Bombyx mori: one gene and its partner. The protein of the gene in region 1 purifies or fractionates together with the protein of each later gene. This does not show direct contact. Links are inferred from orthologs where the notes say so. Each region holds a gene or a part of one and is shown on either strand. Other genes may lie near its edges.

Region 1 (4,334 bases):
TTATTGACCACGATCTCAGAGTGTTTGTTTGCGCAATACACTAACTCTTATGCAAACAACCGTGAATGAAGTGTACCACAATAAGTTCGCACGTTACCAAATGACCGTGGGTTGTTGCGAAACCTCCAGTTTTAGAATTTAAAGTTAATAGAATAGAAATTAAAATTAATATTTTTATAATAAGGAACTTCGTTCCAATCCGGTGTCCCACGACACATTTTGTTTCTTCTGAAATATTAAACATATTTCAACCTGCTCTATACAATAGTGAAAATATAATTACATATTTTGCTGAACCATAGTATTTGGTATGATGTAGCACAAATAGTACAAAAATTGTATATATATTGTGTTGATTTTCAAAATTTTCTTTGTGTTATTATACCCAACTGATTCTTAATTTATAGACATTCAAAATTAATCAAGATAATCTAGAGCTCAACTATACATATTATGTATATTAATCCTTTTTTTTTTAAATTAACTTGAAGTGCTCTTGCATAACAGTCTCAAACAATAACATCAGTGCCCACATTATAGATACTTGTTTTTTTAAAAGCCGTCCCTTACTTTAGTAGCAGAGGAAGTTGACGATCGCCTTTTCTTATTGGCGGGCTGGTTCTCTCTGGCATGCCACCCGCCGCGCTGAACCCAAGAACGTCGAGACGAAGCCAGTGACAGGTCTAGGTCATCTTCCGAACGAGAATATGACATCTCTGATAGTAGTGTACCTGGACATTTTAAGGTTTTTTTTTTCTGTAATTTAACTAAGCAAATGTTTTCACAAAACAAGTGAAGTAGTGTAGTACTGATTATTTTATATTACATTGAACTTGTTAACATTGAAAATTATTATTTTCATAGACTCACGATATGGCAAACTCAATCTTGTTAAATACTTTTCAAATACTTGTTATGTGTATTTAATAGGGCCTATAAATACCACAGCGTGAATAATGCTATTTGCTTTAAAATAAATCATGATGTTGGCAGGCCAGTACTATTATTACTGGTCCATAAATTTATTTCAAATTGATATTGAGATCATCTTTTAGAAGACATAGAGCATATAATAATTGTTGGTGCATGATAATTGAAGTATTTACTTTAAATAAATAATTGTGAGTTAGATGTTGTTTAACTCTAGTTGTATAGATCTTGCTTTAATTATTTTTTAAAAGTAATGAAATGTCAGTACCTATCCGACTTTAAATGCATTACTAAAAGTATTACTGTCTCTTTCTAATGATTGCAATTAAGCTACAATGTTTTAATTAAATAACATTAATTTTATTGTTATTTATCAGGGTGACACAAATTGTGAAATAAACCTGTATATAAACTTTGATGTTTAAATTTTCAGAAAGAGAATCTTTTCGTAAACTTTATTACACAATAAGTGAAATCATCAACTTGTGAGGGCCATATGTACCAGTGAGGTGCCCTAACAACAAGCGAAATCATTTTTTTACCAGTAGAATTAAGTTCTGGAACTCCACTAAGCTTAGCATTGTGGTCTTGTTGAGCAGTTCCATTAAGGAATGCAAGCTTCTGTAAGGTTTCATCATTCAACTTGGCACGATTGTCATTGAATAAGAGGTCACGGGCCATGTCCAGTAGTTTACTCTGAAACAAATCAGATACACTTTCATAAATATCCATAAGTTGAATACTATGTCCCAAATGGTTTTTTTTTCTATTACTTCTACTCAATGGCTTAAAAGTTACCGGAGAAAATGCAAATTTGTACATTTTATTTGTTTAAGAGTGCCACTTCTATATCTTTCCATAATCCTATACACTGTTGCATAGATTTTTATACTATACAAGTCAAACCCAACCTACTTTACTGGTCAATCGTTGCCTTGGATCTGATCACTACAAAATTCACAAAATGACCTGCTAGACTAATCTGAAAATTTCATCAAAATTGGTCGAGCAATTTGACACCATCGGGATATTAACTTATATGTATAGGTATATTATTTATATAATTAAAACATCTATATCAATTAACAGTATTAATTAAGCATGTCTGTGACTTGGAAAACAACTATTACTATTTTATAACGAAAATAAACTTTTAAATGCCTTTATAATCAAACTTTCCTTACCAGTTCATTGTACTTCTTCAATATTATGTTTCTTTCTCTTTTTTCTCCATCAAGCAGTTTCCTGACATGAGCAAACTTAGATTCCCACTTGCCTAGTGTCTTTAGAGCTTCGTCAAGCTCACTTTGAAGGCGAACAGCCTCGGACTCGGCTGCTGCCCATTGACAGCGCACCCATTCCATTTGCTTTAAGAATGCTAAGAAATCTGCAAAGGGCAAACACAATTTTCACTGGATCCCTTCTGTCACTTAATATCATTCGTTAAAACAATACTAAAGGCTCTTATCGAATTATTTATGAATATGTAGGTGGGTTTATAACGCATCAATCACAATGTACACAAAATGAGTGGGTAGTTTATACACGCATTAAAAGTTGGTAGATTCTAATCATTTACAATGAACAACTAAAGAAAACTATGTTAAATGTAGTTTTAGTTTAATTTTTACATACATTCTTCTGCGGCTCCATCATTTAAAACATTATTCAAGCGGTTGATGTCATCAAATTGGGCTACAAGGGAGAGCGCGATGCTTGGACCGGAATCTGAATTTTCTGAACTCATTTTAATAAGTATATAGCTTTTTCCATTAAATAATTACTACAAAACTTTCAACACTTCTTCGCATTTCAATCTATATTTTGAAATGAATGCATAAATTCACTAATATATATTTTGTCAACTGTATAAACTTGAAATAACGACCATTCAGTGACGGATTTTCAAATTGAAGGAAGTATCTTAATCTACGGAAGTGTCAACGTCAAATTTATGGTCGTAGTTCCATTCAGCCTATTCTTTTGTATGATCTGAGTTGATTAATTTCAGACATTATTCCATTAGGATAAAATTAAATTAACGAAAGGATATTCGACAAACAATAGTCTCAGTATAATGGGGGCTATTTACAGAGGCTTTTTCAGTGAACTTTTTGGAAAATCCATAGAAGCTTTATTCATTGGCTTTGTTTCATTTCCCCATATATTTGCATTTTCACAGATGCCAAACTGTTTATAAACCACCATTATTACACATTTTTGTGTATTACATAGTGTACTTAAGAAATATGCAATTGTGAATTTTTTTGAAATTTTACTATTATTGTGACTTAATTTATAATTGAAAATTGAATAATAAGTGAATCACTAAATAAGTTTAAGATACGCAATAAAAATTATTGAGGATTGAAACCCCTTTCCCTATTTTAAATTCATTGTTTTTGTAAAAATCATTACAAAAACACCCTTTCAACAATAAAAAAAACTATAATTAAGACATCGGAAACTTCACTCAAGACAGATTTATTTTACCTTTTAGTGAAAGACAAAATGCAGCAAAAGCTATAATAATTACCAGCTGCATCACAAAATGAGTTCGTTTTCAAAGGATTGCTAGGGCTCACTAGGTAGGTACTTAAAAGTTTTACCCAATCTTTTAGAGGATTTTGTTTTTATAGCTTGGTAATATTTTATTTTGACATTGACAACAGATGGGACTCTTCAGTGAACTGACAAATCGCAATGACATTCGGCTGAGGACGGCGGTCTGTCCGTGTGGGCTTCGCAGTCTTGCGAGTAGTTGCCTGTGAGATAATAATATTTTCGAGTTTCCCGGCGCATTTCGCGACCGCGAATCGGTATGGCGGACGAGGAAAATAATTGTGATGACGGTGGTGGTGACCTGAAAGTGGGCCAGGCGTTTCGTTTGCGAGGCCGCAAGGGTGCCCTAAAGAAGAAGAATGTTTACCTGGTGAAAGATCACAAATTCATGCCGAGATTCTTCAAGCAGCCGACGTTTTGTTCCCACTGCAAAGATTTCATATGGTATGTATGTTGCATGTGTTGCTCTACCTTTGTTTTGTAGATCTTGTAGTATTAAAAATAGTAAAAATATACTCATTTGTTTACAGTTTAAATCGCTTTTCTTATCCGGTTATAGTTTTAGCTCGTAGGCCCAAGGTAAGAAGATACAAGCCAGTTTAAAAATCTGAAGGACAAAAAATTATTATTTTTCTTTTTGTATATTTTTATTTGTGTATATTTTTTGCAAACAAAGCAGATAACTAAATTAGTCCTATCACAGACTTAATTTAATTAACAGGTAAATTATTAAATCAAAATACATAATCTATTAAGTTTATAATAAATAGTAATAAGTTTAGTTTATTAGTAATTAATGAAGAGTATGTAGGTAATAAAATAAAAGTTTCCCCTTCACAAAA
Region 2 (4,397 bases), on another chromosome or scaffold:
TTCACTCTCATTTGAAAGATGGGGCTTGTTATCTAATATGATTGAGACTAGAGCTCATCTGACAAGGTGAGTGCTCGCATCAATGTTATTATATAACTCATGTCATCAATCAAATGAAATAGTAAAATTTTTAAATCAATCAAAAATATAAAATCTTTTTTTTTATTGCCCTTGTAGGCAGATGACCATCCGGCCCACCTGATGATGAGTTGTCACCGTCGCCCATGGACTTCAGCAATGCCAGGGGCATAGCCAAGCCGCTGCCTACCTACTTATCTAGTAAAACTGTAAAGTATTTTATTATAAGCAATTTAATATATGCAATATGTATTCGATTACAAAAATAAATATATATTTTTACCTTCCTTTTGTATGGTATCCTTTAACTTTCCTTCCAGCTTGGAGAATAGCACTTCTGGAGTGATATTCGGTGGTGGTTTGTTGAATTTTAGAGTAATCAATATATCTTTGAGATCTTTGGCTGTTGGAGATTCACGCTGAAAATTAGTGTATGGTTGTTGAAGACTAGAATTTCAGTTTTTTTAAATAAACTGTAGCTGTTAAAGATAATATATTTTCTGCATTGAGCAAATTATATGCTCCCAAAGAGATCAAGAATAAGGACGGCCACCCAGTTTATGCAAGATTTAGACTTGAACAAAAATATTTGGCGATCATAATGACTCCAAACTTAAAGCCCTATTTTAATTACACAGCATAATCTTAATTCAAAATAAATGGTTGAAATTAAATGATTAAGTATATACCATAACAATCTCCATGCCTGAGCCCTTATCTTGTGGACGATCTACATTCACCATTCTAGCTGCCATGAGCTCGGAGATCAGGTAATCAAGCAGTAACAGACGATCGTCTTTAGATTGTAGTCGAGATGACATATGACCTGTTTGAACATAGTTTAATAGTTTATTATTATACAAATCCATTAAGGTTGTTGAACTAACAGCCCTTACTGCAAGCACAGCCAGTGGTGATTCAGACCACCTGACCACCACTGACCATCATTTATTATCCAAATTATAATTGTTGCAGGTTTCACTTTTATTACACTGTTATTTCTTCATCACGGAAATCATTCGTGAATGTGTGTTAGTTACATTAGAAAAATTGGTACCATGTTGTAGTATTTAAGAAATGGCACAATCACATTGTTCAATACCGATGTACCAGATGACTTATCCTGTAGGTCATGATAACATCAAACTAGGTATCATCATTCTGACTCTGGTTTAAATGATAATTGTAACCACACCCTAGTAGACCACAGGCTATAAAATTGCTTCTGAATACTGGTACTAACTATTAAATAACTATTTAATAAATCATTGTGACTATGTAAGTAAAAATATTTTGATTACCCTCTCTATTTTATGTATTACTAGCTGACCCAGCAGACTTCGTAGTGCCTCAATCGATAAATAAAAGAGCTAAGCTTTTGTATAAACTTAAAACAAACAAAAGGAATCCGTCCAACGGGAGACCCATCAAAGGGAAAACTAAATTGTTATTTTCATTTAATTCCAAGCATTTTAATATTTATCTACCTTTTAAACTTTCTCTGGACTTCCACAAATAATTCAAGACCAAAATTAGCCAAATTGGTCCAGCCGTTTTCGAGTTTTAGCGAGACTAATGAACAGCAATTCATTTTTATATATATAGATATTGGTGATTAATGTTTAATAATTACACACCTGTTACCAATTTCTTGTAGGGACATCCCAATTCTTTCAAAAATGAACTAAGTTCCAGCAGGAAAGAGCTTGAATCGTCTGGATCATTAATCATGTTTACAGTCTCTTCGAGGTGACAGAGATTCTTCAACTCTTCAGCCAATATATGCACAAGTTTGGTGAAGTCAAGGGACTTGGCACCTCCCTCAATAGCCTTTGCAAAGACAGCTTCTTCGGAGAGTGGGCCTTCATAGCTTAAAATTTTTTCTAATGTTTTATGACTTGTCTTACACAAAAAATTACAGATCAAATGACATACTTGGTTAATTTAATACATTAAAGGTCTGTTAATATAGACATGTATTTATAAAAAAAAAACTAAAATAAAATTGAAATCAATGCTTTTATATTAAGAGAAAGATATATTAAAGGAAGGAAATATATCATGTAGGATTAACGAAATAGACTAGTGGAAGACTGTAAATTGTACCTCTTTTAGGTAGAAAAACCATTATTCACAATACTACTACATAAAACTACTTTTATGGTTAATCTAGCGTTTTTATTGTGATTATATTGTTTCCGACATATGGAACACTTTACAGTTTTCGTGGTCATACACGACTGAACTGTGAGAGTAGGTTTAGTTATGTATAAGACGAGGGAACACCGAAAAAAAAAAAAATGGTCCGCTTTTTTTCTGATCGTGATTGCTTAAAAACGCTAGGTTATATATACTCGTAGATAGGTAATAGTATTCGTTAGGTTAAGGAATTCTATGTTGTCAACGAAGAATATCGAAATAGTCAAACCAACTGAATCTGTCAATATTAATTCTGAATTTACCATATTGCGAAATGTTTTTCGGTAACGCTAACGTGTCGTTTTAAAGTTTCTTAATTTATCCATTTTAAAGAACATTTTTAAGTGAAAATAATAGAACCGGTGATTTTAACTTGATCAAACCTACAAAAAATTATAACCGTACATACCTCAAGTCGCTAAGTGAGTCCAATATTTCGTTTTCCATTTTAGTCAATAACCTCTTACTAAAGCTCTGTACTTTTTATTAAATTACTGACTAAAACACAGTTTTACTTGGGATAAGAAATTCTGAAAAATAGATTTCAGCCGGCGTTCCAGGTCCTTTATATTTTATTCATAGATTAAACGTTTAACCATCGATAAGACAATTGAAGTCAAGACATTTCATGGATGGAGCCCTGCGTTCTATTCCTTTAAGCCACAAAACACCAAGAATACAGAAACTAAACATGAAATAATTACGCATTAGAATCAGGCACGCATAGACAGGCACGAAATCACGAACCCAAAGCTTCCAACTGTATGAGGCGCCTCGTAAATATATGAGATTTTTGTCTGCTGTAGAAGGTGAAATTAAAGTTAGAATGTAAATGTTAATTTTTTTAATTATACCACAATAAATAATATAACTAAATAACTTATTATGCCTTAAAGCAGAACAGGATTTTTGTAAATTGAAAATCGAAGTTCATAAACACGAATCCCACATAAAACAGATTCACTACAGAAAAAGCAGCAGTATTCTCAGCGCATAGTTCTGTCGCCAATCTCGTATTACTAGTGGTAGGACATATTTCGTGTCGGCTTCAGTGGGTTTTGTAATTTTTTATTTTTTTATTTTTTTTTTATTGCTTAGATATGTGGACGAGCTCACAGCCCACCTGGTGTTAAGTGGTTACTGGAGCCCATAGACATCTACAACGTAAATGCACCACACACCTTGAGATATAGTTCTAAGGTCTCAGTATAGTCACAACGACTGCCCCACCCTTCAAACCGAAACGCATTACTGCTTCACGGCAGAAATAGGCGGGGCGGTGGTACCTACCCGTGCGGACTCACAAGAGGTCCTACCACCAGTTATCATTTCCACACGCTGTAATTCCAACGGGCTAATGAACCGGCAGTTCTCGTTTTCATGTACAGGAACGTTTTTCTTTTAGAAATTTCTTCTATAGCCTGTCAATTTTTTTTTCCTAATAGTTGAAACCTTAGAAGAAAGAATTTTACTTTCAACTACTTTCGAGACGCAAATTTCAAGAATTATGTCTTTAAATTTATATTCTGCCATCCTGTAAATAAAACACATATTTTAAGAAATTTCTCAAAACGATAAAGCTCCATATTGGTGCGCTCACTCGAAATGACATGTCATAAATTAGCTGTGGAAAATTTCTGATGTTTCGGTAGTTTTTTTTTTTTTGTTGCCAGATGTGTGGACGAGCTCACAGCCCACCTGGTGTTAAGTGGTTACTGGAACCCATAGACATCAACAACGTAAATGCGCCACACACCTTGAGATATAAGTTCTAAGGTCTCAGTATAGTTACAACGGCTGCCCCACCCTTCAAACGAAACGCATTACTGCTTCACGGCAGAAATAGGCGGTACGGTGGTACCTACCCGTGCGTACTCACAAGAGGTCCTACCAGCAGTAATTACGCAAATTATAATTTTGCGGGTTTGATTTTTATTACACCATGTTATTCCTTCACCGTGGAAGTCAATCGTGAACAATTGTTAAGTACGTATTTCATTAGAAAAATTGGTACCCGCCTGCGGGATTCGAACACCGTTGCATCGCTTTATACGAATGCACCGGACGTCTAATCCTTTAGGTCACGACGATTCTCAAGTCGTCTTCAAGACGTCTCTCAA

Evidence for each region.
Region 2: the proteins of rac GTPase-activating protein 1 (region 1) and protein FAM98A purify together in Homo sapiens (co-immunoprecipitation; 3 studies listed by BioGRID and IntAct, with this or other methods). This does not show direct contact. The link is inferred for Bombyx mori from reciprocal best matches to the Homo sapiens genes RACGAP1 and FAM98A.

What each region holds. Positions count from the first base shown.
Region 1 is NC_085114.1:3,029,455-3,033,788, forward strand, and holds the start of rac GTPase-activating protein 1, read right to left. Parts: upstream 2,851-4,334; 5' UTR 2,678-2,850; coding exon 2,566-2,677; intron 2,318-2,565; coding exon 2,115-2,317; intron 1,627-2,114; coding exon 1,473-1,626; intron 732-1,472; coding exon 571-731; intron 1-570.
Region 2 is NC_085130.1:5,588,674-5,593,070, forward strand, and holds the start of protein FAM98A, read right to left. Parts: upstream 2,891-4,397; 5' UTR 2,725-2,890; coding exon 2,687-2,724; intron 1,949-2,686; coding exon 1,716-1,948; intron 905-1,715; coding exon 768-904; intron 498-767; coding exon 362-497; intron 1-361. UniProt on the Homo sapiens protein: Positively stimulates PRMT1-induced protein arginine methylation. Involved in skeletal homeostasis. Positively regulates lysosome peripheral distribution and ruffled border formation in osteoclasts.